2 linked regions of the Stegostoma tigrinum genome follow. The protein of the gene in region 2 purifies or fractionates together with the protein of the main gene of each other region. This does not show direct contact. Links are inferred from orthologs where the notes say so. Each region holds a gene or a part of one and is shown on either strand. Other genes may lie near its edges.

Region 1 (15,563 bases), on a different chromosome or scaffold from region 2:
ATAAACCTGTTGGACTAAAAACTGGCATCATGTGATTTCTGACCTTGTCCACCCCAATCCAACACCAGCATCTCCACATCATAGCCCAGAACAGTGGTTGTTTTCCTAGAGATCACTAAAGTCCGACTGACAACAATTCTGATACACGATTCTCAAGGCCATGTCAGAGGTTTAATATTAGCTCAATGTTATACACCTTCAATACACCATTTCAAAACCACACAGGAGCTGCTAACATGGCACCTGTTTACTGTATCTCTGTGTGACAACCTTAAAAGGCAGTCAAGCTAACAGAGAGCAAAGAGTTACTTTCTCTAGCTTGATATAACCCAGCAATGCCATGGCACAATTATTTCCCCAATAATTCAAGACATACCGTGATAATCTCACACATGCCAATATGAGGCATTATTTCCAGATTCCACTTTCACTTCAGCCAACACAGGCAAGATGGAACACTGGAGGCATCTCAAAGCCCACAACCCACAGTTCCTTCCTCTGCCCTCACAATATATCCCTCCATGCTCAGGTTACCCCACCAAGCCAACACAATCCCTCTTGCCCATACAAGGCCTCTTCCCTACCCCACGCATGGAAACAGATAAGTGAGGTTTGGGCATGTGGTGGGGTGGTCATGGTTAGGACCAGGGGAGAGAGGAGAGGAGAGCTAAAGAAGGAAAACTATGCATGCATGCACGGAAAAGGAGTTGGGAGGGGCGGATGGTGGATTGGAAAGCGAACACCTGTCCGATACCAAGGGCAACCAGGCCAGAAGGAGCAAAATGTGAGGGGAGGGGTTGGCTTGAAGGTTAACGGTGGGGAAGGGGCATGTGAGCTGACAGAGGAAAAGATCAGCCAGAGAAGAGATGCTGGGCAGAAGGCAAATGTAGTGGGGGCAGGAGATGCAGGTAAAGGATCATGCACAAAAACAATCATTGACCGTCAGAGATAACAAGGTGTAGAGCTGGATGAACACAGCAGGCCAAGCAGCATCAGAGGGGCAGGAAGGCTGACGTTTTGGGGCTAGACCCTTCTTCAGTAATGGGGGAGGGGAAGGGGGCTCTGAAATAAATAGAGGGGGGGAGGTGGATAGAAGATGGATAAGGGAGAAGGTAGGGTGAGAGGAGACAGACCAGTCAAAGAGGCGGGGTTAGAGCCAGTAAAGGTGAGTGTAGGTGGGGAGGTAGGGAGGGGCTAGGTCAGTCCAGGGAAGACGGACAGGTCAAGGGGGCGGGATGAGGTTAGTGGGTAGGAGATGCGGGTGGGGCTTGAGGTGGGAGGACAGGTTATGGATGCGGGGACAAACTGGGCTGGTTTTGGGATGCGATAGGGGGAGGAAAGATTTTGAAGCTTGTGAAGTCCACATTGATACCATTAGGCTGCAGGGTTCCCAAGCGGAATGAGTTGCTGTTCCTGCAGCCTTCGGGTAGCATCATTGTGGCGCTGCAGGAGGCCCAGGATGGACCTGTCATCTGCAGAATGGGAGGTGGAGTTGAAACAGTTCGCGACTGGGAGGTGCAGTTGTTTTAGTGCAAACCAAGCATAGGTGTTCTGCAAAGCGGTCCCCAAGCCTTCACTTGGTTTCCCCGATGTAGAGGAGGCCACAAAGGGTACAGCGGATGCAGTATACCACATTAGCAGATGTGCCGGTGAACATCTGCTTGATGTGGAAAGTCTTCTTGGGGCCTGGGATGGGGGTGAGGGGAGAGGTGTAAGGGCAGGTGCAGCACTTCCTGCGATTGCAGGGAAAAGTGCCGGGTATGGTGGGGCTGGAGGGAGTGTGGAGCGGACTTAGGAATCACAGAGAGAGTGGTCCCTCCAGATGTCTTCGATATTGGGGTCGGACTGCAGATGGCAGAAGTGTCGGAGGATGATGCATTGGATCCAGCGGTTGGTGGGGTGGTATGTGAGGTCAAGGGGGATTCTGTTTTGGTTGTTATTGCGGACAGGGGGTGTGAGGGATGAGTTGTGAGAAATGAGTGAGACACGGTCAAGGGAGTCATCCACCACTGGGTGGGGGGTTATGTTATGGTCCTTGAAAAACGAGGACATCTGTTTTGTCCGGGAGTGGAATGCTTCATCTCCGGAGCAGATGCAGCGGAGGCAAAGGAATTGGGAATAGGGGATGGCCTTTTTGCAGGAAGGTGGGTGGGAGGAGGTGTATTCTAGGTAGCTGTGAAAGTCAGTGGGCTTGAAATGAATATCAGTTTCTCGGTGGTTGCCCTGAGATGGAAATAGAGAGGTCCAGGAATGAGAGAGAGGTATTAGAGATGGTCCAGGTGAACTTAAGGTCAGGGTGGAAGGTGTTGGTGAAGTGGATGAACTGTTCAAGCTCCTTGTGGGAGCACAAGGTGGCGCCGATACAGTCAATGTAACGGAGGAAGAGGTGGGGTTTAGGGCCAGTGTAGGTACGGAAGAGGGACTGTTCAACATAACCTACAAAGAGGCTTGGAGACCGCTTTGCAGTACACCTACGCTCAGCTCATACTAAACAACAGCATCTCCCAGTCATGGACCATTTCAACTCCCCCTCCCATTCCTGAGATGTCATGTCCATCCTGGGCCTCCTGCAGTGCCATAACAATGCTACTCAAAGGTTGCAGGAACAGCAACTCATCTTCTGCTTGGGAACCCTGCAGCCCAATGGTATCAATGTGGATTTCACAAGTTTCAAAATCTTACCTCCCCCTACCACATCACAAAACCAGCCCAGCTCGACCCACCTCCCTAACCTGTCCTTCCTCCCACCTATCCCTTCCTCCCACCTCAAGCCCCAACTCCATCTCCTACCTGCTAACCTCATCCTGCCCCCTTGATCTGTCCATCCTCCCTGGACTGACCTATCTGCTCCCTACCTCCCCACCAATACTCACCTTTCCTGGCTCCATCCCTGCCTCTTTGACCTATCTGTCTCCTCTCCACCTATCTTCTCCTCTATCCATCTTCAATCCGCCTCCCCCCCTCTCCCTTTTTATTTCAGAAACCCCCTCCCCTCCCCCTCCCCCTTTTCTGAAGAAGAGTCTAGGGCTGAAATGTCAGCCTTCCTGCTCCCCTGATGCTGCTTGGCCTGTTGTGTCCATCCAGCTCTACACCTTGTTATCTCAGATTCTCCAGCATTACCAGTTCCTACTATCTCTTGATCGTCAGGGAGTCTGATTAGGAAAACGGAATTATCATAAACTCCCAAGAATTCACAATGAGCCCAGGAAAAACCAAACCAATTTCTGCCTATTCAACAGTGCCTTGCATTTATATAGTGCAAGGTGAACCAGTAAGACTGCAGAATGTTAGGAATGGGAGATGATCCTTTGTTACAACGGGTTATCATGAAAACAAAAGGTGTATAATAGGGGACCGACAATCAGAGAATAACAAGTGCATAAGAGTACAGGGGAGACTTAGTGATACAATCCTATTTACCCTCTCAGGAATTCTCAAAGTGCCGATAGCCAATGAACTATTGTTCTGAAGACCTTCAATTCCCTAGATGGTCGCTCATGCCTAAGGAACTTTTACAAGCAGCGGAGGCTAAAGCTGTTGCCAGCCGTTCAGTGGGTAGGTACAAAGTGTACAAGGGTGCACTTGCAAGCCAGGAAGCGGCCAGTATAGGGTTAACTGACGGGCATTAACCATTGGCGATCTTTCTTAAACAGTGCAGGGGTAACAGCAGCAATTTACCGATCGGGGGGAGGAAACACGACAGGAGGTCACCGCCGCTCGCTGCATTACGGAAGCGGGGGCTGGGTAGGGAGCTCAGTTGTGCCAGGGCTGCTCTGGTCCAGCAACGCCTGCACTCAGGGGGAGCTGCGATGCCCCTGTCGCTGAACGGCATACCCAACGTCCCATCTCGTTGGACAAGGCGACAAAATAGGCAACTGCGACACCAACAAACAAATTTTCCAGGGAATCACTGGGTGAGAAGTGCTCTCTGTTGAACTACACAGCAATAGCAAGAATTTGTTGGAAGGGAATGCACCAGTCCTCTGTTTTATTTAATCTGGGGTGAATAAAACAACCTGCTGCTTTTCTTCAAATCTTCCCATTTCCCCTCAAAAACGAGCAATCCATATTGAAGTGTATCCTCCTCCAGTGCCAATAAATAGTAGCCAGGAAACTACTCAACAGTTACATGCCCTTCAAACAACACGGCAGTTATCTTTCTGCAGTCACTGCTATTGTCCTTGAGTCTCATCAGCTTAGAAGGCCCGGGGCTGGGGGACAAGGGGGAACCGAGGTAGGTCTGCCCCAACAGCAGCAGCATTGACAAGAACAGCCCCCAGCAAAAACAGACAGAGCCCTGCCATCAGCTCCCGCTGGAGGCCGCAGGGAAATCTCTCGCTCGTTCATCGCCCCGCACACAACACGCAGCATGAGGATGGCCACACCGTGCCAACTCTCAGCTGGCATATTCAACAAACCAGCAAAAGGAGCAAGGCATTCTCAAACAAAAGGCTCTCTGGCAAAGAATGCTCACACACATGCACATATACATGCGAAGACAGGGGAATTCCTTGCTGCTAAAAATAAGGCCATTGTTTGACTTTTCAAAGTGTGGGATTTGGGGATTCACTGTACGCTTCGGATGTCGCCCCCAGGGTCCAGCTCACGCCCCTAAAAGCGCTCTGTTCCCACACTGGACAGAGCAGACCCAGTCCATTTAGATTTTTCTCTCTCTAGGGGATTGGGTAATGTTATTACACATTCCCAACAAAGAGCTCTGGCTCCTGCTCGCTTCCAATATCCTCTGTTTCTTTCACCAGTCGACCCTCAGCGATTTCCCAGTGCCCTCATCCAAAAAACGCACGCCAAATACCCTCCTTTCAAAAAAAACCCGCATTGTTTTAAACATCACGGAGACTGAAACACACATGATCATAACCTTAAATAAGTCATGCATTGACCTTACGTGTGTTCTCACAATACATTTCTTGTCTCGTCAGCTAGGAAACAATCTCAATGCAATTTCCATCCTAGTTTCTATATTTTAGTGTCCTTTTTTTCCTCTCTGAAGGTCTTTTAGTTGTAGCTTCCAAAATATACAAATCCCCCAGGCAAGAGAGAGCCCTTTACCAGCTCTCCCCCAACCCCTCTCCCCTCTTACCCGAGATCTCAGCTGAAGGCACCGCGGTCACCGAGAACCCTTTGGAGTTGTACAGCGTTCTCATGTCCAAACAGGTCTTGGGTCTCTGGTCTCCCACAACAGGGGAGGGAAGGAGTCCCAGTAAAGCCAGGCACAGCGAAATCCACATCATCTTCGCAAGGACGGTGCAACCAAATCAAGAACTGAGTGTGTGTGTGTTTTTTTTTGTTTGCACAGGAGACACACAAAAAAATCCAAAATCGAGTTTTCAAAAGAAACTGGGATCAACGTAATCCAAACAAAAGTTTCCCCAAGTCAATTGCAGGAGGAAAGGAATTCCAACCGACTCTTGCTTTTTTTTGTTCACCTCTCTCTCTCTCTGGCTTGTGACTTACAATCTTCAGCAAAGAAACGCGAATTTCAATTTATCTTCTGTAGTTGCCGATGCAAACGGGTTCATTAATGACTCAGTTAAAAAAAAACACAGCCCACAGACCACACAAAGGAATACAATTAACAAATGCTACTTCTAAAATACATGAACACAATCCTGGGAGTCTTCTTCTTAATTCCAATTCTGCCCTTCCTTCTCTCCCCCAATGAGTTTGTTACCGGTTGTAGTAGTTTCGGGATGTATGATGAAGAGTCTCGAGAGTTGGAGAAGGTGTGTGTGTGTATGTGTATGTGAAGAATCTGTCCGACCTGGCACAGACAGAGACAGAGTGCCCACCTCCTACCTCTGTCTCTCTCTGTGCAGACGATGCCTTACTGAGTTTTCCAACTCCACCCCCAAAACCTCTAGCAGGATGTTACGACAGACGCGGTCTGGGACCAATGAAGACGGCCCCTGGCTTTGTCAATCACCTCCCTTTTTTCTCTTCATTGTCGGTGAGCCGCAGGAATGTCTTCTTATCCTCCCATCAGAGTGCCAGTGAGCAAGTGTGCACTGCTGTCCCTGTGTGTGTCAGTGTCTGTCCGCCTTTATGAATCTTCCATTCATTTAACCCTGTCAGCCACACACCTCCTCAAATTTACAACGGGGAATGGACTCAAGTGATCCTAATTCAAACGCACTGTTCACCTGGTCTGTAAATGCATTGCAATTTTCAAGAGAAAGAATTCCTTATTCCCACAGTGATGTGCGGGGAAGTGGGAGAGCCACTAAAATAGCCTTTTGACTGAGTCTACTGCTTACTTTTTGCCAATTGTGTTACGGAGATAACCAGGCCCCGGAAAAGATTTCAAGTCGGATTGATAAAGGAGGGTTTCGTGGTATTGGGTTCCCAACCTCTAACCTATCGCCCCTGAGCTGGAACAGGACTACTAAGGTCTGGTCTTTGTGTGTACTGCTTCCACATTGCCACTCCTGCAGGTCAAAACAATACCTATCATCAACTCCTCTGTCTGTGAAGGCAAAACAATCAAGTATAAAAGACACGCCTGCCTTTAGGTGGGAGGAATGAACAGGACGTTTCGGAGATCTGAGTTTGCCATTCTGAACAAAAGATCTGCTTTAGGGATATGAATTTTAAAACACGGTTCAAATAGAAAGAATTTTACAATCTCCACTCCTTAAAGAGGTTGAAAGTAATTAACCATTACAGTTAGACAGTAAAACAGTTGCATTGTAAACCATTGGGTTACCGCCTCTGCCTCACTTTTCAGAAATTGCGATGTAAGTTGTCCGTCATGTTTGCCAGAAAGAGCTCCAAATAGTGCTTCACAGTTAATGTTTTTAAGGATGGGAATCTTTAAGTATTGCGGAAAAAAATGGATCAATTTCATCATCTGCGAATACCTGGACTGAGTTTTTCATTAAAAGTTCTCTTTAGGCATTGGAACATGTTTTTAAAGTCAGGCATTTCGTGGAAACCTCCTGGTTTCAACAAATTGCTGGACTTGTATGGTGGAGGACACCTGTCTGGGTTTATTTTAATCACCAGTGAATTCGTTTCTGCATTTTCAATGTTTCGGATTCGGTATTGGTCCTTTAGCTTGCTGAAGGAAAGAAGCTTCCCAGATCAGCTCTCCTGTTTCTGAAAAACAAAAAAAAGTGCATCCATTGTGGTACTGGAACTCAAGATTCACCTGATCTCATGAGAACCATCTGAGGAGTTTGTCTTGATATTTCCTGAAACATTTGCAAACATCCCAGGGACGACTGTAGATGAATAGACTCTTGTTAACATGCCAGAATATCTGAATGAATGTCATCTGAACTTTCCACACCTCATCATTTTTACCTTCAAGAACTAACAGCTATTGGACAAAAGTTTTCTTTTCCCAAAGTGAATCTCTGCAGAGAAATCAATTTTCTTGTTTCCCTTTACCAGTAGTGTTTATGTATGTATGTGTTGGGTTATTTAGAAGGCTGAATGTTTACACTTCCATATCATGAATTGTTTGCTATCACTGACAATCGATCCTGATCCACCCACGTAGACACTATTGTCAGAAAAGCACAACATGCCTTTTGTTCCTAGCTGTGTTTGAAGTGCAGTGATACAAAACATATATCACTGAAAATGAACAGTCTAAAAGACAGTCATGAGACTAGCCTTGTAACATAGTCATTCAGCACAGAAACAGGCCCTTCAGTTCAACTCGTGCATGCTGACCAAGTCTCCCAAACTAAACTAGCCCACTTGCATGCATTCAACCCATACCCATCCAAGCATTTCCTGTTCATATGCTTGCCAAACGTATTTTTAATGTGACTGTGCATGCATCTACATTTTTACTTGATCAGAAAGTGAATTTGAATCAAGCATTGATTACTCATTGTATGATGAAGTACTTCCTCATAACATTTTAAATTTACTGAATATAGGTTTCAATTTGCCCTGTTCTTTAAATTTTATTTGATGTAACATGACAAATTAACATTTTCATTTCCTTCACTATTTTATACAAATGAACAAATTAGAAGCAGACAGGGCCTGCTCCATCATTTGTTAAGATCATAGCTGATCTGGTTGGAGAATGTTTAGATTAGGATTCATCAAAATAATTTGCCCACAAATTCTGTGTATGAGGGCTACGGTTACATCGAGAGCCAATTTTATCAATGTATACTTCAAGAGATGGTTTTCTTCCCAGGCCCACATTTAGAAAAAGCGTCAATCTGAAGATAAATCTTCTGAAAATAAGCCATCTGCAGAAAAGCCATCATTCTCCAGCAGGTCTTACCACTCCTAGTGACTCATAAATCTCATAGAAACCTATTGAATTCCAACAGGACTAGACAGAGTAGATACAGGATGTTTGCAACAACTGAGGAGTCCAGAATCAGGAGTCACATTTTAAGGTCATTTAGGATTAAGACAAGGAGAAATTTCTTCACCCAGAAAGTTGGGGGCCTTTGGAATTCTCTGGCACAGAAAACAGGTTAGGCCAAAACATTGAATGTTTTCAAAAAGAAGTCAGATATGGTTCTGAAGATAGAGGGATCAAAGGATATGGGGACATGGATGAAATTTGGACAATATCTGCAGGAGAGAAACCATGACTGGACACTCATGAGATGCAAGTACTGAGATGAATGTGAGCAGTGGGTTATTAAATTGGAGAGTGTGTAGAAAAGATTTACAAAGATGTTACTGGGGCCGGAGGGTTTGAGCTATAAGCAAATGCCTGACACTGGACTGGAGCGTCGCTGGAGTGTAGGAGTTTGAGAAGTGACCTTTTGATGTTTATAAAACTGTGAGGGGCATAGATAAAGTGAAGGGGCAACTTTTTCACACAGAGGGTGGTTTGTATGTGGAATGAACTGCCACGAGAAGTGAAAGGTGCAGGTGGAGTTACAACATTTAAAAGATATTTGGAAAGGCACACCAATAGGAAAGATTTAGAGTGATATAGGCCAAATGCAGACAAATGGGACTTGTGTAGTTTGGGAAACTTGGTCAGCATGGACAAGTGGACTGAAGGGTCTATTTCCATGCTGTGTGCCTCTACAACTCTAAGTGACAAGAAAGGACAAGATCGAGAATCAGCACATCCGGGTATCAGATTGTGAGACCATCAAAGAAGCCAGCTGAAAAGTCATTACAAGAGTATGGCCATCTGTTGTGGAGAGAAAGAGGAAATGTGATGGAGTTGGGCCTACCTGAAAGAAGCAGAGGAGGAAGACCTGAAACCAGATGGAATTGCAGTTGTAAGTGGCCCAAAGTAAAAGGGGAAAAGTGATGCCTCTATGACTGAAGCCTATGTTGATGGCACTGAAAATGATACATTAGGAACAAGAGTACACCAATCAACAAGAACATGGCTGATCTGATTTCACACTTAGCTCCATTTTCCTGCATATTCTCAATACCCTTTGTCTGCTTTGTGAGTTAAACGTTGATCTACTTCTGCCTAAATCCTCTGCATTTTAATCTTAATTGACGGATCCAGACTTCCAAGCAAGGTTCAAAATCTTTGTAAAAGCAGAAACATCTTTTGGCATCCACCATATCATAGAATCATAGAGGTCTACAGCACGGAAGAATGCTCTTTTCCCATCGAAAAAAAGAACTGGTCACAAACAACTATCTAACTATTCTAATTCCATTTTCCAGTACATAGCCCATAACCTTGAAGCCTCATATGTCATCTTAGGCCCTAATGTTTCAATAAGATAACCTCATATTCTTCCTGATTCCAGTGAATAGAGAACAAGTCTGCCCAATCATTCTTCATAAACTTCATAAGCTCCCAAATCCAAGGTACCATGGTCAACCATTACTGAGATAGCTGATCTCACTGGGGAGAAAACACTTAACGAGGTGACCTTGGGGTAGATCCTGATTTTAACAAATAAAATTGGATGACAGTAAGTCAGCAGCTCTTCAGTGTTGTGCTTTGTGGTGTATGTAGTTATTACAAGTCAACTGTGTGTGCCCACTTAATTCTTAGTTTCTTTGTCACGTTGAGTGGGCAGTTCTACCATTACAATGGTTATTCCACCAGCAAACCAAAGGCCAGAAGTTGCACTAAGATGGTGAAAAGTCACAGAGACTCCTGACAGAAACAAAAATTAGTGTGCCGTGGACAAGCAGCAGAATCCCCGCATAATCCACCTTCTGAAAGCTACTAGAACAATGTCATCGAAAGCAAAGGTATTAGACTCCCAGAAGAAGGAGTTCAATTTAGTTCAAATCTGGCGAAAAGCCAGTGGCTCCTATCTCTGCCATTGTAGGAACTGCCAATGCTGGAGTCTGAGATAACAAGGTGCAGAGCTGGATGAACACAGCAGGCCAAGCAGCATCAGAGGAGCAGGAAGGCTGAGGTTCCTATCTCTGCAGCTGGTGCCTGAACTGTTGAGTGGGCTCCTGCCTTTGGTACAGTTAACTCTTTTCCTGTTGCATGAGTATATTGCATTTTTAACTCTTCAGTTACACATTGGACTGGTTATCTGTTCACTACAACCCACTCCATTGACAGTTTTCTGTCATCCAACACCGCTTCCCATTTGGAGGATACTGCGAGAGACAACAGCAGCCTTTAATAGCCCAGCCAAGTAGCAAACCTTCATGTCTCAAGAAATACATACTTTCACATAACATCTTCCACAATCAGAATATCCCAAAATATTATCCAGAAAAAATAAGCTCTTCTCAGTGTTGCTGCAATCACTGTTGCAATGTGGGGCAATGTGGCAGCCAATATATACACACAGTTAGCTCTCACAAAAAGCAAAGTGTTAAGATAATGGGTTTAAAGTGATTTGACTGAGGTAAAATTACTGGGCAAGTTAATATTAAAAACTGCAGATGTTAGACATCTAAGACAAAATTAGAAAATGCTGGAAATGTTCACCAAGTCCGACATCATCTGCAAGGGGAGAGGTTTCATGGTTCATTTCAGGTTGATTTTATGAGATCTTTCTGAACTTGTAGAGAGAGGTGAGCCTGTCCTCATTGCTAGTGAACAACAATCCTTCTGAACAATTTGACCTAGAGATATAAATGTGTATAAATCAGTAGGACAGGCCATTCCAAGAACCCTGAAGGCTCAGTCAAGTAAAAGTGGGGAGACAGAATGCAGAAAACTATAGAATGTTCAGCTTAACGTGTATCATTGGGGGGAGTGTAAGAATTTATTTTAAAGAGATTATAGTCATACACTTACATAAGTACAAGTAATCAGGCATAGTTTTACCGAAGGGAAATCATGTTTGACCAATCTGTTGGACTTCTTCTGGTCTCCCTGCTATAGGAAGGATCTTGTTAAACTTGAAAGGGTTCTGCAAAGATTTACAAGAATGTTACTGGGGTTGGAGGTTTGGACGACAAGGTCAGGCTGAAGAAGCTGGGGCTATTTTCCCTGGGGTTTCGGAGTCTGAGGGGTGACGCTACAGAAGTTTATATGATCATGAGGGGCATGGATAAGGTGATAGCCAAGGCCTTTTTCCCAGGTTAGGGGGAGTCCAAAACTAGAGGGCATAGGTTTAAGGTGAGAGGGGAAAGATTTAAAAGGGACCTGAGGGCCAGCTTTTTCACACAGAGGGTGGTGCATGTATGGAATGAACTGCCAGAGGAGTGGTGGAGGCTGGTACAATTACAACATTTAAAAGGTGTTTGGATGGGTAAGTGACAGGAAATGGGACCAGATTAATTTAGGATATCTGGTTGGCATGGACAAGTTGGACTGAAGGGTCTGTTTCCGTGCCATATATCTCTATGACTCTAAGCAACACTGTGGATAAAAGGAAACTGTTATATGTAGTGTACTTAGAGTTCCTGAAGCCACTTGATAAATTGCCAGATCAAAGGTTATTGTGGGAAACAACAGCTCATGATTTAGAGGGTCGGGCACATTGACAATGGATTGAAGATTGGCTGGCTAACAGGAAAGCGGAAAGTAGGCATAAATTTTCTTTTCAATTTGGCAAGATGTAATGAGTGGCATGCCAAAGGATCAGTGCTGAGACCTCAACTGTTTATAATTTATACCTTCAATGAACAGATGTAAGCTATAGATACTAAATTTGCTGCTGACAGGTTGCAAAGCAAATATGAAGATGGCATAAGGAAGCTACAAAAAGATGTAGGTACATTTGGTGAGTTGGCAATGATTGGACAAATGGAGTATAGTGTAGGAAGCTGTGAAATTATTCGTGTTGGAAGGAACAATAATAAAGAAGCACATTGCTTGAATGGTGAGAGATTGCAGAGCTCTGAGGTGCAGAAAGATCTGGGTATCCTTGTGCATGCATCCTGCAAGATTAGAATACAGGTATAGCAAGTAATTAGGAAAGCTACTAGAATGCTATCACATAGTACAAGGTGAATTTTTTACAAAAATAGGGATGTTATAAAGGGCACTAGTTAAAGCAATCTGGACTCCTGTGTATTGCATTGATCACCTTATTTAAAGGAAAATGTAAATGCATTATTTGCAGTTCAGAGAAGACTTAGCAGACTAACCACCAACTGGAGTGGGCAGGTTGAAAGTTGGACAGTCTAGGCTATCAGCTATAGCTAGAGTGGAAGCAAAAGCTGAAATTCCATTCCCACACAAGCTAAGGACGCCATGAAGGCTCTACCTCCTCAGCTTTGACCTTGCTGAGATGTTGTGATCATTAAACTCACCGTTGGTCATCTTTGTCGAATGGGAGAGTGGGATTATGGTGACTTTATGTATCAGCTTCACCTGAGAAAAGCAAGAACTGACTTGATTAAAGCGTAGAAGATCCTGAAGGGGCTTAATAGGTTAGATGTCTCATTTTATGAGAAAATCTAGAACTGGGGGTCACGGTTTAAATAGCAAGGGCCATCCATTTAAACAGAGATGAGGTGAACCATTTTCTCCCAGAGGGCTATGTGTCTTTGGAACTCTGATCTTAAAAAAGTTACTGGAGGAACAATCTTTGAATATTTTTAAGATTGGGGAGATTCTTATTAAGTAAGGAGTTGAAGAGTTATCAAGGATAGGAAGGGAAGTGGATTTGAGGTTACAAAATAAGATCTGCCATCATCTTATTGAATGGTGGACAAAGCTCAAGAGTCTAAATGAAGGTTCTGATGAATAACAGGACCTTACAGCGCATAACCACAGATCCCTGAAGTCAGCAGGGCAGGTAGATAAGGTGATTAACAAGGCTTCTGGGATACTTGTATAGGCTGAATAGCCAAGGTCTTTTTCCCAGGAAAGGGCAGTCAAAAACTGAGGATATGGGTTTACGTTGAGAGGGGAAAGGTTTAAAAAGGACCCAAAGGGCAACTTTTTCATGCAGAGGGTATGAAATGAATAAGCTGCCAGGGGAAATAGTGGAGGTGGGTACAATTAAAAGACATCTGGATGGGTATATGAACAGGAAGGGTTCAGAGGGATTTGGGCCAAATGCTGGCAAATGGGACTAGATCAGATTGGGATGTCTGGTTAGCATGGATGAGTTGTACAAAAGGGCTTGTTTCCATGCTGTATTATTCGATGATTACTCTTGTTGCATTTTTGTATGTTTGTAAGTTGTTCTACCTGTGTCTCAACATCAGCAGCCATCAATAATGATGTAAATAAACACCAAAAGGACTGGGGATGCTGTAAATCAGGAACAAAGTTAACGTTTCAGCTCCGGTGACCCTTCCTCAGAACTGATGGTGGCTGGGAAAACATCAGTTTATATTCAGAAATAAGAGGGAGGAGGTAAATGATAGGATAGAGCCTAAAGGGAGAGAAGACTAGTTGGACAGACAGAGAGTCAATAATGTTCTGGCTGGTAGGGTGAATAGTTGTTAATGTGGGGACTATTAGTGACTAATAACAGGTAATGTGTAATGGCAGGCTATGTGGTAACAAGGCCTGGTGTGTGGGGTAGGGGTCTGGCACATGGGAGTGTTTAGGCCCTAAAATTATTGAACTTGATATTGAGCCCAGAGGGCTGCAGGATCCCCAAGTGGAAAACACATCAATAATGATGTACTCCATTCATTCAGGCCATTGCGTCTGTTCCAGTCAATAAGGAACTAGACTGTGTTACCCGACTTTCCTACAGCCTGTCCATAGCCCTGCAGGTCACAGTTAATCAAGTGGACATCTACGTACTTTTTAAACACAATGACAGATTCTACCTCTACTACCCTCTCACACAGTGAATTCCCAAAAACAAAGTTTCCTGATTTCCACTCCGAGCAAAGTACACATCTCAACTTTTTATTTCTTTCCATAATTAGACTGCTGTGGAGGGGGCAGGCAGGGTAACTGGATCCTTCACTAACTCAGCAAAGGATTAAGTAGACAACACAAAGATTGCTCTCTGCAGATACAGAACAAGGCAGAGACAGAGCTATCTCACAGCTCTGCTACGTTACATCTGCTCTGACACATTCACATTCCGAAGCGACAATCTAAACCCGTGGGAGACTGAGAAGGAGGGACTGAAAGAAAGGGAGAGGGAAGCTAGGAGCCAGGAATCAAGCAAAGGGAGTAGAAAGCCAGAAGAGCTGCATTAAGCCTAATGACGTCTTGAGATATGTGTTGTGATGTGGTGAGCACAGTGTCACTGTGGGACAGACTAGCAGCTGTTCTGTTTGAAGCCCTGTAGTTATTTTCCTTAAGGTTCTGGTTGGAACTGAAAAATCCGATAAAACCATTCCTTGTGCCAGCACACCATAAGGTATAAGACATTTCATACGAGCACAGTTGTGTGAATTTCTCCCGTTATACCAAGCATGCTGACTAGCTGTCTAGAGTTAACAAGCAAAATGCCATGGATGCTTAAAATCTCAAAGGAACACGGAATTCTGGAGAAACTCAAAAGGTCTGGCAGCATCTGTGGAGAGAGAACCTGCTTAATGTTTCAAGTCAGGTGTGACTCTTTTTCAGAGCTGAAGATGAGACTGTCTGAAGAAGTCATACCAGATTGGAAACATCAATGCTGCTTCTCTCTCCATAGATACTGCCAGATCGCTGAGTTTCTCCAGAATTCTAAGTCTTTGATCCTGATTGGTAGCTGTTCCTTCAGTTTTCCAGCTCCAGTCTTGGGAGATTCTCCCAACCCCTCCATCTCTCTATCTTTTTTTCCTCCTACCTCTTTGATCAGTCATCCATGGTGATATCTTATTAAGTGGATCAATGTCATATTTTGTTTTCTAATGTTCCTACAAAAATGCCTTGAAATGCTTTATTATGTTAAAGATACTATATAAATATTTAATATTGTTTAAAAAAAATCCAAGAAGGAACTCAGGAAAAATGCCTTTATGCATCATGGGATGAGAACATGGAGCTCAGTCCCACAAGGGATACAACATAATTTGAAGATGCTTTAGCATGTGGCTATGTGTTCTGCAGTCTATTTAGTTTAACATTATACATAGGTTTGTTAGATGTCAAAACTAGAATGTTTTTTTTTGTTTCTAACGCATAAGGGACTGATGAGTTTAGATTTATTTTCTACTCAAGTGTGTCTGCATGTAAATTTATTTACACAAAGGTCAAACAGCTTATTCATTTTATGTGATTTGAATAATTTATCACAGCGTGCTTCAGAAAATCA
Region 2 (15,131 bases):
ACTTTGCAAAGTATTGGCAGCACTGTGGCTCAGTGGTAAGCACTGCTGCGTCAAAACACCAGGGACTGGGGTTTGATTCCAGTCTCGGGCAATTGTGCAAACTCCACACATTTTCCCTATGTCTGTGTGGGTTTGCTCCCACTGTCCAAAGAAGTGCAGGTTAGGTGGATTGGCTATGCTAAATTGCCCATAGTGCCGAAGTATGGTAGGGGGTGGTTCTGGGTGTGATGCTCTTTGCTGGGTCGACGTGGGCTCAATGGGCCAAATGGCCTGCTTCCACACTGTATGGATTCTATGAAATAGCTCGGTGAATATTCAGTGGATTTATTTACAGAAGACATCTGTTGATACAGAAACGAACTATTCAAACAGACCATCAGGATCCCAACAAAACAATCTCATCCACAAGGTACATTTGTTGCCAATACACTGGCAGTCAATTTAATTTATTCACTAAAATCCTATAACCCATGACGACTTAAGTGTTTAATAATAAAACGTGAGGCTGGATGAACACACAGGCCCAGCAGCATCTCAGGAGCACAAAAGCTGACGTTTCAGGTCTAGACCCATCAGAGACATCCGGATGACTCGAGTTATTGAAGCCCTGGTCTTAAAAAAGGAGGCATATGACATGTACAGGTATCTGGGATCAAGTGAATTCCTTCAGGAGTTTAGAGGGTGTTGGATACTTTAGAGAGAAACGAGAAGGGTTAAAAGGGTGCAGGAGGTGGCATTGGCAGATAAGATAAAGGAGAATCCAAAGAGATGCTACAAATACATGAAGGGCAAAAGAGTAACTAGGAAGGCAATGGGTTCTCTGAAAGATCAACAAGCTTATTGTACAGAGCCACAAGAGATGGGTGAGATCCTAAATGAATATTTCTTGTCAGTTTTTACCAACGAGAAAGGTATGGAGGATCAGATACTGAGATGTGTGTAATTTATGAGGCAGGATCTCCATGTGATAAAATAGCAGATATGGACAACGAGGCAAGGTTAGTGAGAATTCCAGTCCAACAGAGGACAACATCACACAAGTTCTGAATCAGAGGACTCACAGGAGAGATCAGGTGCAGCAGAATCGAGAAAAACGTTGGTTGATATGGACAACATGTTTGTCTACTGGGAAGGCTGCTATAAAGCTAGCAGACAACGCCAAGGGTCATGCAGGAGGTCCAGTATCAACTTGGCAGAAGGCAGATCTTGGAGTCTATCCTTTCCAATGACCAGAGTCACAAGTCAGTCTGTAAGAACGTGAAGGGTCTAGGCCCGAAACGTCAGCTTTCGTGCTTCCTGAGATGCTGCTGGGCCTGCTGTGTTCATCCAGCCTCACATTTTATTATCTTGGATTCTCCAGCATCTGCAGCTCCCATTATCACTACTTAAGTGTTACCTTACTTTTCCTTACGATTTCTAATTTCTTTTTCATATTAGTTGCTTTCAATTCCTTTGTTTGCCTGCAGTTTATTTGTTTATTGCTCAATCCTGTGTTCTTGGTTCAAATATGGCTAGTACAATTTAACTTCCTTACCGTATGCTCTGCAAAAGTGAGAAAAAGGTCTTGGATTTTTATGGAATTATTCTATTTGCTGACAGACTCATCTTTTCAAGATCTGATGAGAATTTAGGCAACCAACCATAAGCTGGCACAATGCATTTGTGATTTTGATATATTAGGAAAAATAGCAGTCAACCCCTTAATTTGTGAACTGTTGAAATAGTTTTTCCCTCCAATTTTCACTCCTTTTATTTCTTCATTTATTTCTCACTTCTGCATTGGACTCCGTTCTCATTCCTCTGTCATCCCAGTAATACGCAGCACACGTGATTGGCTCATGGGCTATCATTTGCAGCACAATACAAAGGTTAATATTTTGACATGCAATCAGCCAAGATGACGTTGATTTTTAATAGAAATATAATTAAACATTACAATATTAAAAAGAACTTGATTCTAGCCACTAGCAATTTATTACGTGCAAATTCATAAGGGCAGTGGAATTAATTTTCATGGGGAGTCATGGCACATCTTCAGGTGTGATGATTTCTACAGAGACAAGGAGGTATTTCTTTATTCAGGGCTTAGTTCGAATTTGGAACTCACTATCACAGAGCATCGATGAGGCCAATAACTTGGATACTGCAAATGACATAAGCATATAAAAGAAAAAAGGAATAGTAAAATATATTCAGAGATAATGGAAACTGCAGATGCTGGAGAATCCAAGATAGCAAAGTGTGGGGCTGGATGAACACAGCAGGCCAAGCAGCATCTCAGGAGCACAAAAGCTGATGTTTCGGGCCTCGGCCCTTCATCAGAGAAAAAATGTACACGATATTCTAAAAGTGGACTCACCAATGACCTGTACTGCTGCAAAATGACATTTTGATGAAGGGTCTAGGCCCAAAACATCAGCTTTTGTGCTCCCAAGATGTGGCTTGGCCTGCTGTGTTCATCCAGCTCCACACCTTGTTATCTTATAATAGTAAAATATATTGCTTGACTGAGACATGGTAAATAGAATGAGAGGGGATAAGTGCAGCATAAACATCAGAGTCAATACAGTGTGGAGGGAGGAAACACAGTAAGTCACTCTGCTCCAGAGGAGCAGGAAAGTTGATGTTTTGGTTCAGGACCCATCATCAGCACTGAGGAGGGGGAAGGGAGCCGGGAAAAAGAGAGAGAGGAGGGGTGGGGCTGGGGTAAGATAGTCAGGATGTTGACAGATGGATGTGGGTAGTGGGGATGGTCAGTGAGGAGGGTGGGGCTGACAAGTGGAAAAGAAGATGGACAGGTTGTGTCATGTCAAGGATGCAGGGATGAGAGGGAGGGTGAATATGGGATGCGGCCAGAGGAGTGGGGAAATTTTGAAACTGGTGAATTCTATGTTCAGGCCATGGGGCTGCAAGCTCCCGAAGCAGAATATGAGGTGTTGCTCTTCCAGTTTGCATGTGGGAAGGGAAGTTAAAATGGTTGGCAACCGGAAGGTGTTACTGATTATAGCATACAGAGCGCAGATGCTCCATGAATTGGTCCCAGAATCTGTGCTTGGTCTCAATGATGTAGAGGAGGCCACACAGGGAGCAATGGTACAGTAGACCAGGTTGGAGGACGTACAGGTGAACTCAGGTCCGATTTGGAAAATATGTCTTGGGCATTGGATGGAGGCAAGTTGGGAGGTTTAGGGGCGGGTGCAGCACCTCCTATGGTTCCAGGAAAAGATGCCAGGTGTGGTGCGGTTGATGAGAAGTGTGGAGTGCACAAGGGGATCACCAAGTGAGTGGTCTCTACGAAAGGCAGACATGGGTGGGGAGGGAAATATCTCTGACGTTGATCAGAGCATTTGATTCAGTAAACGGTGTGGATTGTTCTCCAAAGATTGATGTCTGAGTAACTTCTTCACATTTCTGCATCTGCTGCATAACGTTGACTTCAACTGACTTGAGTTAGGTTCTGAAACAAATGCCATCAAAATCCAAAATGCCAAGAAGGCTATGTGGCTGCTTTTGCACGATGTGCCATCTACCAGACTGCAGTGAGTAAGTTCTAAGATCAAATGTCCTCTGGTGTGAGCAAATGCCACTGGAGACGAAAACTTACCTCTTTTGCCACTGTGCCAAAATTAAACTGCGCAGCACAGACATACAGGACCAACAATATACAGCTGAATATAGTGTTGCTGCTCACTCTGCACCAGACTCGCAAACCACTCATCTTGTCAATTCTGTATAGCAGAGACTCAGTCAAACTTGAATCTGTTTCTCTCTCAATAGGTGCTGTCAGATGGCTCGTTTCTCTCGTACTTCTGTTTTTCATTCAGATGGCCAACATCTGCCTTTTTATCCTAAGGACTCAGGCTTAGTCAATCAAACATTGCACTTTCTAAAAATGAAAGAATCTCAATATTTTGTTCAATCACTGAGCAGGTTCAAGACAGAAATCTATAGGTTTCTGGAGAATAATGACATACAGGATTATGCTAGAAAACAGCATTAAAAGAGATGCTCAGCCACACTCTAGAATGGCGAGGTATGTTCAAAGGGCCAAACAGCCTACTTCCTTTGCGATCATCCCTCATCAAAGGGGAGACTGATGTAGAGACCCAACACTGGATCAGCTGCACCAGTTCAGCCTTCTACAAACTATGGCAGACAGCTGTTGGCAACAAAGATCTCCCCAAGTCAGAGGTTCAATGCACAGTGCGGTTGTCACAATACTTGCGTACTTCAGTGCATCCTAGATCATGCATCAACAACACATAAGCGACCAAAGTAAAACGCTGGAGAAACTGAGCAGAAAGAGTTAAATTGGACTAGAAATGGTAACTTCTCTCTCCAAAGATGCTACTAGACCTAGAGTTCCCCCAGTGCTTGGTTTTTAATCTCAAATCTTGAGCATTTTCAGTAATTTCCACCTACATGAGCAATACATAATATCAAAAGAGAAATTCTATCAGGAATGCCTCCACTATATGCTGTATTCACTTGAGAAATCAATCAACAAATATCAGTGTCCTACTTGAAACAGTCTGCTAAAACTCATTGAAAAATTGGAGCAGACAGCATGTTTGGATGACTGAAAAGTGACTTCATCAGCAGGTCCTGCTTTCTCAGTTCTTAGTTGGATAGTGTTGCAGCCAGGACAAAAGGAATGCCACAATTTACTCAAATTTTTCCTCAAATTTGGCAACACTCCAATTAATGAATGAGAGGAGCTTGCCACTAATCATTCAAAATGGCAAAAACTTGTCCATCAAGCTGCATCATGGCAGAACAGCTGTACTGAAGAGGGGAAACAGTGGAAGAATTCCTGCATTTCCAATGCCAATACTTCATGGAGCATCCTGTCCTATATGCTCAAAGATCTTCAGGTTGAGTTTGGCCTGTACAGTCCACTAAGACAAAACAGAAACTCAGGGCCACAGAAGAAATCATCCTGAAATCCAGGGTCAGCCAAGTGTAGAGGGGATGTGATAATGGGAACTGCAGATGTTGGAGAATTCAAGATAACAAAGTATGGAGCCAGATGAACACAGCAGGCCAAGCAGCATCTCAGGAGCACAAAAGCTGACGTTTTGGGCCTCGACCCTTCACCAGAGAGGGGGATGGGGAGAGGGAACTGGAATAAATAGGGAGAGATGGGGAGGCAGACCGAAGATGGATAGAAAAGAAGATCGGTAGAGAGGGGATAGGTCAGTGCAGGCAAGACGGACAGGTCAAGGAAGTGGGATGAGGTGGTAGGTAGGAAGGAAATGGAGGTGCGGCTTGAGGTGGGAGGAAGAGATGGGTGAGAGGAAGAACAGGTCAAGGAAGTGGAGACAGGCTGGCCTGGTTTTGGATTGCAGTGGGGGGAGGGAAAGAACTGGGCTGGTTTTGGGATGCAGTGGGGGAAGGGGAGATTTTGAAGCTTGTGAAGTCCACATTGGTACCATACGGCTGCAGGGTTAGCAAGCAGAATATGAGTTGCTGTTCCTGCAACCTTCGGGTGGCATCATTGTGACACTGCAGGAGGCCCATGATGGACATGTCATCTGAAGAATGGGAGGGGGAGTTAAAATGGTTTGCAACTGGGAAGTGCAGTTGTTTGTTGCAAACCGAGCAGAGGTTTTCTGCAAAGCGGTCCCCAAGCCTCCGCTTGGTTTCCCCAATCTAGAGGTAGCCACACTGGGTACAATGGATACAATATACCACATTGACAGATGTGCAGGTGAACATCAGCTTGATATGGAAGGTCATCTTGGGGCCTGGGATAGGGGTGAGGGAGGGGGTATGGGGGCAAATCTAGCACTTCCTGCGGTTGCAGGGGAAGGTGCCGGGTGTGGTGGGGTGGGAGGGGAGTGTGGAGCGGACAAGGGAGTCGTGGAGAGAGTGATCTCTCCGGAAGGCAGAGAAGGGTGGGGATGGAAAAATAGCTTGGATGGTGGGGACGTAGAGGGGATGGCTGTTACTCTTTCCAAACATGGGTATAATATACAAATGAACCAGGCCAGTCTTTCATTTCATATCTAATTTATAGAGAATGCATATCAAAAATTTGTTTTTTGTTCTTGACTAAATATGTTGCTGGAAAAGCTCAGCACGTTTGGCAGCATCTGCAGAAAAGAAAACAGTTAACGTTTCGGGTCTGGTGACACTTCCTCAGAAGAGGTTATTTATTCATGTTGTGCCTCATTTGAGGAGCAGTGTTTGAATCCAGAACTTTCTGACTCGAATGTTGGTATTGACTAAAGCAACCTAACAATTAAACTAGTAATCAGGTGACACTAAAACGTGTACATTTCATCTAGTGTGTAAATTAGTTCAGCAAAGACAGGGTTCCTAAGCAAATATTCATCCCCTACTTCGAGCCATCTGTCTGCTTAGCACCAAGCACACCTTCACCAAATCGAACACCAGAGATTAAACCAAAACAAGACTCATTCCTTGGAGACAGGTATCATTAATAAATTCCAAAGGCCTGAGGATCGAAATTTTAACTGATCTATCTCGACAGATGTTGCCGTATCCATTAAGTCTTTCCAGCAGCTTGTTTTTAGTACGCGAGAAATATTTGTTTTTAAAACTGATAACAATCAGGTTCCTTCTGATTGAAAATACCGAGCGCTTTTTTAAAAAAATTTGAGGGTTTACCGTACGGATGTAATTTAGCCATATAGATTATTAAATGGTATGTGCGTGGAAGCGCATTTCTAATCCAGGCTCATAGCAAACAGTGCAATCCTACTGTTCACTACCCAGACGACATTAAATGAATTAAATGACACAAAGTAGACACCACCAGCAATGAACGGCCTATTTCTAGAAATTACCAACTTTGGTCACGAACTCACTCTGATTAGGCCGAATATTTGTCAGGACAGAATAAAGTTACTTAGCTACCACCACTGAAACTTTTAAATTCACATGAAGAAATATTTCACAACGAAGTACCTGAATAACAAAACTTTCTAAACAACGAGAACAGCTTCATTTTGCCGTACGCCCGAGTCGCCGCCATTTCTATTTCCAGCTCCAGCTCGGGTCAGAGAGCCCCGCCAAACCACGCCCCCGGACCCGCCTATCACTCCGCCGCCGTCCTGAGACCCGCCCATTGGGTAAACAGCCACTCTTTGAAGAAGGTTCCCGACCCAAAACGCCAAGCTTTCCTACTCTGACATTGCTGGGCCTGTTGTGTTAATCCAGCCCCAGACTGTGTTATCCCCGCCCGTCTCTAACTCGCTCCCGCCCCCGGACCTGCCTATCTTCGTCAGGCCCCGTCCTCAGACCCGCCCATCTCCTCCATTTCCCCACTTCCGCTATTGGGTGAACCGCCCCTCTCCCTGAGCAAAACAACCTGCCGCCGGCGACAAAACCCAACTCGTTCTATCGCCTACAACTCCAGAAACTGATTTCGTGCATTGATCGGCTTTACGGTTACAGGTAGTGTTTATTCAGATGTGGGTGAAATGTTGCCATCAACATTTTTAGGTTCTACTGGGCTTCAGCTTCCTCATCTGGAGTATGGAGAGAAAGAGAGAGATGGGGCCCAGAATCCGGGGTGAGAGAGAGAGAGTGGGAGGGAGGGCGACAGAGTCCGGGCAGGGGAGACAGAGGGCCCGGAGGGCGTGGGTGGGGGAGAGGGACAGGGAGAAGGCTAAGGCCCAGAGTGCAGTCGGGGGGCGGGGGCGGGCGCGAGAGAGGGGAGGCCCAGAGTGCGGGAGTTGGTTGTGGAAATCCCTTCTCTAAAACAGTGCGATGAGTTGTTGATGCAGAAGCTGTATGTAGACCGAGAGCGGGGCCGGCTGAGTTCGGTGAGGGAGGGAAAGGTTTTCCATCCCCGACGTGCAGGGCCGGGCCGTGAAGCGACGCTGCACATTTCAGTCTGTTAAACTTTCCTTGTTGCGTCAGATTACTGGCCTTGCCGCTGCGACTGTTGAACTGGGCCTGAAAGGTGCCTATGAGCAGCGGTATCTACACTGATAGTTTCATTGGGAGTCTTATAACAGAACTACAGCTCTGTTAATCAATTGTATTGCGCTCAAATTTTTCGCCCAGGACTTTGAAAATCGATTATATGTAGTAACTTCCCCCCCACCCCTTTTTGATCAGTAGGGCAGTGGTAAGTACGTCCTAATGCGTTACATTATTGATCTCACCGAAGAATATCCGAATTACGAGCCTACGCAGCTTTGACCCTTTGCATGGGCTCCGACCGTTTCTTATTTAGTTATATTTGTCAGTCATCGGTTGATTTTTTTTGTCATGTTTTCTATTTTAACGTTCTTTGCAAATGGTAAACCTTCTGCCTGAATGTCATTGTACAGGCTATTCCAATGTAACAAGAGTAACTGAGTACTTTAAAGTCTGATCGTTATGTGTCAGGCTGTCAATTTTTCCAGCGACTGGAAATTTCGAGTTGTTTTCCACTTTGTTTTCATTTAATGTAAATGTTGTGCTCCGTAGCTTCTTTTATGTAATAGGATATTGCATGACCAATGTTAAATGTTTTCACTCATGAGGTGACCGTTACAAAACTGACTTTGCAACTGCTAAGGTGCTTGATAATCTTAGACAATTTTGCCACATATTTTAAAAAATGTCAAGTGCTGGTTTACTTTCCCAATACATTTTTAATTATTTAGGTGGTTAACTAACTTTATAATGTGTTAATAATGTGTTTTATGTAATGCATATTCATCATGTAACTCTTCCTAACAGTTTGGTTATGTGTTGATAATGCATCATGGTTGCAGCATGATTAAAAACATGTGGTCAATCTCAAAAGTGTGAGGTTAATTGATGTTCCAACTGGGAATCCCCAATTTGCACAACACTGGGTGGGGGTAGTCTGTATTGGCATTCCTGTGAAGATGAAATGTCTCGGGATTTTAAAGCTGCGACATTGAAATGTTTACCAAGCAATGTAGGAATGGCAATCCTTGTCTCCTTTAATGTCATGTTATGTGCCCAGGCTGAAAAGAAGTAGTGCTGGAAGTCACCGGATCAGGTAACATCTGTGGCGAGAGAGCAAACCTGTGTTTCGAATCTAACAGTTCTGATGAACAGTCATCGAGACTTGAAAATTAGCTTGCTGTCTCACCATGGATACTGACTGCCTTACTGTGGTTTCCATTATTTCTTTAGTCTTCAGTCCAAATTCCAATATTTACAATAACTTGATCCGATCCTATGTCATGTATCCAGGAATTGACTTGGGCATTTTGCTCAAATTGTTCCTGGTGGGGAAAAATAGACTTCTTTAGATTATTGAGTACTTTGCCCTGATCATACTTGCTTTCTTTCATTAGAAATTAACCTTTTAATCATGGCTTCCATGTTGGGTCGTACGTTCAGAAATATCCCAATCAGTGTGGCGTGCGCAGCAAAGTTAAGTAAGTATGTGAACAATACTATTTTGCAATATATTCATTTCCAAAACAACAGTTCTTAATGAGATTTAACTGCCAGTTTCTGCTGATATCTTTTCTTGGGCACCAAGATCCTACCATCACTGATTTTGTTAACCAGATGACTACATCTCTTGCTAAAATTCCATGCTAAGGAGTTTAGAACGGGGAGAATAGTAGGGGTAGTGCCATGCTTGTCTGTGCTCCTATTTTAGGTATGAAAGGAAAATGTGAACGATAATCTAATTTTCCATCCAAAATGCGGAGGCTTGATTAAAAAGCCTAAAAGTAATTCCAAAAATTGACATTTTGGGGAAAAATATATTCAAAAGTGAATAAACCATTTTGGATCAGGATCACTGCAAGATTCTCCCATTTTATATAAACACTTTACAAATGAGCCTATTTCTATCTTAATAAATAAGAGTATTACAGCACAGAAAGAGGCCCTTGAGCCCATCTTGTCCAATTGGATCCTCAAGCATCTATCTACTCGAATTCTGTTTTGTTTTACTTGCCAGGAGCTGGGTTGAGGCCTTGTATTATACTTCGTTCAGGAATCCTTATTGTTGCACTATCTGATTTAGTCAACGATGGCACCGCCTGGAGCATTAATATATGAAACCACTGAGCAAGAGAATGTAGGCTCACCTTAACTCACTCAAGAGTTCCCAATCGCTATGCTGAAAGGGAGGCTTTAGATGCTTTGCTGGTGGAGAGCATAGAGAGGGTCAAGTGATCCCCTTTTTGCAGACATGATTAAAATGTGAGAATAGGTTCCCCCACCCCCCACTACCACTGCTTCCGTAAAGTCAAACTGTTGTGCTATGTGGGGAAAAAAAGGAGATATATTACATTATGTAATGTGTATTCTGTATCAACTATTTCGCGTCTCGCGATAGAGTTTTTATGTAATTTTGTGACTTGTTATGTCAGTTATTATCAGTTGAGGAAAACCATTGCAAAGATGTGGCAATCTTATTAATGCTTCTTTTGATATTAATGTTTATTAGTCTGAAAAATCAAAAATGATCAGAATCCTAAGTTCTGAGGATGTTAAGTGTGTAATATAAAGGTTACCTGTTTTTTTCAGTGATTTACAACTGCAACAATGTTTACTACAATGAGATTTAAATACTTATATTTAGAAATTTCCTCTGAATAAATTGTGAAAAGCGGTGGCATGGTGGCTCAGTGGTTAGCACTGCTGTCTGACAGTGCCAGGGACCCAGGTTTGGTTCCAGCCTCAGGTGACTGTGTGGAGTTTACACATTGTTCCAGTGTCTGCATGGGTTTCTTCCTGGTGCTCAAGTTTCCTCCCACAGTCAAAAACGTGCAGGCTAGGTGGATTGGCCATGCTGAATTGCCCATAGTGTCCAGGGATGTGCAGATGAGTTGGGTTACAGGAGATGGGTCTGGGTGGGATGCTCCAAGGGTCAGTGTGGACTTGTTGGGTCGAATGGCCTGTGGGATTCTATAAAAACTGAAGCCATCGTCTTCATTCCCCACTCCAAATTCCATTTCCTCTCTCTGAATTGTGTTCTTTTCTTGGTAAAAGTGAGACCAAATGAAACTGTTCATAATCTTGCTGTTTCATTTTACCTAAAAATAAGCACCAACCACATAGCCACATCCACACGAAGGGCCAACTAGTAGCACTTATGTAACCATGCCTGAGTTTGCTCTTATCCCTGCTCATCTGCTGAAAGCCTCATTCATGGTTTCTTTACTGTAATTTTGACTCTGACAATGCATATTTGGGTGGTCTCCTGTAATCTACCATCCAAAAGCTTGAGGGTATCTAAATTGTTGTCCTCAAACTTGACAAGTACTGACCACCCTTCACCTGTATACTCACTGACCTACGCTGCCTCTTGCTTAAGCTGCACCTTAATTTTAAGATTCCCACCACGATATGGCAGTGTTCCATCTAAGCTGTATGGTTGTGCAACAATCCATGAAGAGCTATACACTTAATTATCGCTGCTGTGCTCATCTTTGTAGCAAAATGGAGTTTACTGCCAGCCGATTGTATGATCAAAATGCAGGCAAACTCCCCATACCAAGAAATTACAGATGTAGTACAAACCTGTCATGATTAATTGGGTCACATCAGTTAACAAAATCCATTGGTTCACTTCCTGGATCCTGAAGTTGTGTTAACACTTGTCTTTTCTGTGGCCCACTTGTTGGTCATTCCGCATGCCGCTTCCCTTGATTACCTTTCTCCCTCCTGGCTTCCTCCCTCTCAGTGCCCCTATCCTGAGACCATGTGGGATGGAGAGAAGGGAAAAAGACAGGTGAGCGAATTGGGATTGGAAGCAGCATGTCAGCAAATTTTGTGGGAAAGTTGAGGTGAGACAGAGTGACCAGGAGTCTTAGGAAGAAGGGGCTAGTTCGATGTCAGAACGCTGAGAAATAACATGAAAGTGTTAATAAGAGGATTTTAGGGCCAATTAATAGTTAAATTAACCAATCTGGTTATTTTGCTGCAAAATGTATTGTGAGATTATTCAAGTAAAATTGATACAAAAGCATTTGATCTATTAAAAACAAGGGTATTTCTTGGTAGTTGGTGGAAAATTTCAGATTCCCAGCCCTAATCAAATAATAAATGCCAAGATTCTTGAGGCTATTTTGTTAGACTTTTTTAAATCGTGCAGTTGAATATAAGGTTCTGATGTTTGCGAAGAGACAATTAAGATGTGTGGTTATTGATGCTGTTGTTCTTTTGAAACTAGATGCACGTTTGTTGAGTTCAGTATCTCATCCTCTGCCTCAAGGTACAGTGCTTTCAGAACAATTTTCCTCATAACTGGCATACATTTACTTGTTAACTTGATATTTCACTCTTAAAAGTTTTAGTAACATAAGTTTATGTTGGCTTAAAATTCTGTCCAACAGTGCAGTCAACCACTAAGAAAACTCTAGCAAAACCAGGGATAAGAAATATTGTCCTCGTTGAAGGCGTTCGAACACCATTCTTAATGTCCGGTACTACGTAAGTAATGAAGACTTATGTGATTTAACTCCACACATTATGCTTGCGGCCAAATTACCTTTCAGAATGGAGGTACAAGGTGAGCAGACCTCCATTCAAAGATTTACAGCCCCATTCCTACATGCTGCATTTTTTTTTGTCAGCATTCAACAACGTTACTGATAGTGAGCTTGTGTGCAACACTTCCAACCTAGTCAACTCCATTGGAGGGATGGGCAATTCAGATCGCCATGCAATTTTGATGGAGCTGGGCCAGCTCCTGCAGAATGTATGGTTCATGGCTCACTAGAGGAATCAAGAACTAGGGGAGCTCTTCAGTCTGGTGCTCGGTAACTTTAAAAGATTTTCAGATGGTATGTCGTATAAAGAAGGGTCCCAACCTGAAATGTCAACTTTCTTGCTCTGCTGCTGCCTGGCCTGCTATGTTCCTCCAGCTCCACACTGTGTTATCTCTGACTCCAGCATCCACAGTTCTTACTATCTTTGGATGGTGTGTGGCTTTTTAAAAAATATTTGAGTACTTATTTAATGCTTTTGTGTAGGTTTAAGCATGTTTTCAATACAGTAATTGATGAAAGGACTCTACCTCAATTACAGTTGCCTTCTGACCAGTCCACCTTGACATTTGCTCAACTTGTCTTATCTTTGGCCTGTCGCTGTTTATGTACATAGAACATTACAGCACAGTACAGGCCCTAAAGGGGCCCTAAACATCCAGTTTCTCCAGGATGGAGGTGTGAAACAAAACCAGAAACTGCTGGAAAATCTCAGCAGGTCTGGCAGCATCAATGGAGAGAAATCAGTCAATATTTCAGGTCCAGTGACCCTTCTTCTCTGATAGTAATGAAGTAAAGGATGTTCTTTATTACAGAAGATAGGGTGGGAGGAGGGGGTGAGAGTAAACAGTATGCAGAGATAGAACCCAAAGAGAAAGAAACAGACAAAGAGAGTGGTTAAAGTTGCTAATGGAGACTATTAGTGTTTGACAATGGGTAATTTGCAGTAGCAGCCCATGTGATGACATGGCCTACTTTATGAGGGCAGAGGAAAGCATGGGGAACGGTGCTCAAGACCTTAAACTGTTGAACTCGATATTAATTCCAGAAGGCTGCAGAGTTCGCAAGCACAAAATGAGCCGCTATTCTTCTAACTTGTGCTGAGCTTCACTGGAGCACTGCAGCAATCCTGAGACAGCTGTTGGCCAAGGAACATGGTAGTGTGTTGAGGTGGCAAGCAGGTGTTTTTTTTGTGAACAGAATGTAGTTGGTCTGCAAAGCAGTCACCCAGCCTACCCTTTGTTTCCCCAATGTTTCCCACAAGACCACATTGTGATCAGTGAATGCAGTAGACGAGATTGAGTGAAGTGCAGGTAAAACACCACTTCACTTAGAAGATGTGTTTGAGGTTTTCAGTCGTTAGAAGTGAGGAAGTAAACGGGCAGGTGTTAGACCTTCTGCAGCTGCAGGGGAATGTGAAGTGAGGCTTTGGGAACGTGCTGCAACGGAAGAGGAGTGGCCCAGTGGGAATGGTCCCTGCAGGTGGCTGATAATGGAGGGAAGAGGAATATGTGTTTGATGGTGGCATCCTGCTGGAGGTGATGGAAAGGGCAGCTAATGATCCTCTGGATGTGGACGTTGGTGGGATTGTAGGTGAGGACTAGGAGACCCTGTCACTGTTGTGGGAGGAAAGAGAGGGGCTGAAGGCTGAAGCTGGGAAAATGAGGTGGACCCAGCTGAGGAGCTAGTCAATTATACTGTTGCGAAATCCTCGGTTGAGGAAGAAAGCCCCCGCACCTCGAATACATTACAGTGAAATGCCAACCCAAATATCTGTCACACGAGTTCACCTTCACCATCCTGACAGCAATTTACATACCGCCCCATGTGGATAAGAAGAGTGTTTTGGATGAAATTTACACAGCTACAAATGCTATGAAGGTGAAATTCACCAAGATAGTATTCATCTTGACTGCTAACTTCAACCAATCCAACCTTGGGTGTTGCCAAAATACCACCAACACATCTGTCTCACGAGAAGATAAAAAGTCCAGGGCCTCTGCTGCGCATCCATCAAAGAAGCCCATCACTCCATTTCCTATCAACACTTGGGAAAATCAGATCACGATGCTGTGTTCCCCTCCCAGCTTACAAGCAGTAGCTGAAACAGGAGGACCCTTCTCATAAACTCGTACACTGCTCATCTGAGGCAGTGGAATGGCTTCTTCAGGAGTGCTTGGAATCCGAGGACTGCTCCATGTTCAAGACCTCAGCACCATACACCACCATTGCCATGGACTTTGTTAGTAAGTGCATGGAGAACTGCGTGCCAAATGAGCCAATCTGGGTGTTCTCAAGCTGGAAATCTCGGATGAACCAGAAAATCCACTGCCGACTGAAGACCAGGCATGTAGCGTTCAAGTCGAACAGCCCAAACCTGTACAGAAAATGCAGATATGACCTCCTCAAAGCCATCGGAGGTGCCAAAAGGCATTACTGGACCGAGTTAGATGCCCAGCTCACCCATATGGACACCTGCCTGTGGCAAGGCTTACACAACATAGTGGGTTACAAAACAAAGCACAGCAAGATTTGTGAACAAAAACACACTTCCTTGGATGTAGTCAGTGCATTCTGTGCTCAGTTTGAGCAGAATGCCAGTGGTGCAGCATCACCTCCAACAGCTGAGAATGCATTTGTTCCATTCATCATTGCTGCAGACATCAGATCAGTCTTCCTGAGAGT

Evidence for each region.
Region 1: the proteins of trifunctional enzyme subunit alpha, mitochondrial-like (region 2) and glypican-1-like purify together in Homo sapiens (co-immunoprecipitation; 3 studies listed by BioGRID and IntAct, with this or other methods). This does not show direct contact. The link is inferred for Stegostoma tigrinum from reciprocal best matches to the Homo sapiens genes HADHA and GPC1.

What each region holds. Positions count from the first base shown.
Region 1 is NC_081367.1:8,394,118-8,409,680, forward strand, and holds the start of glypican-1-like, read right to left. Parts: upstream 5,876-15,563; 5' UTR 5,253-5,875; coding exon 5,102-5,252; intron 1-5,101. UniProt on the Homo sapiens protein: Cell surface proteoglycan that bears heparan sulfate. Binds, via the heparan sulfate side chains, alpha-4 (V) collagen and participates in Schwann cell myelination.
Region 2 is NC_081357.1:132,090,939-132,106,069, forward strand, and holds the start of trifunctional enzyme subunit alpha, mitochondrial-like, read right to left. Parts: upstream 7,069-15,131; 5' UTR 7,001-7,068; coding exon 6,934-7,000; intron 1-6,933. Other genes in the region: hadhb (trifunctional enzyme subunit beta, mitochondrial), read left to right, coding at 9,308-9,374, 12,131-12,172, 12,294-12,390. UniProt on the Homo sapiens protein: Mitochondrial trifunctional enzyme catalyzes the last three of the four reactions of the mitochondrial beta-oxidation pathway.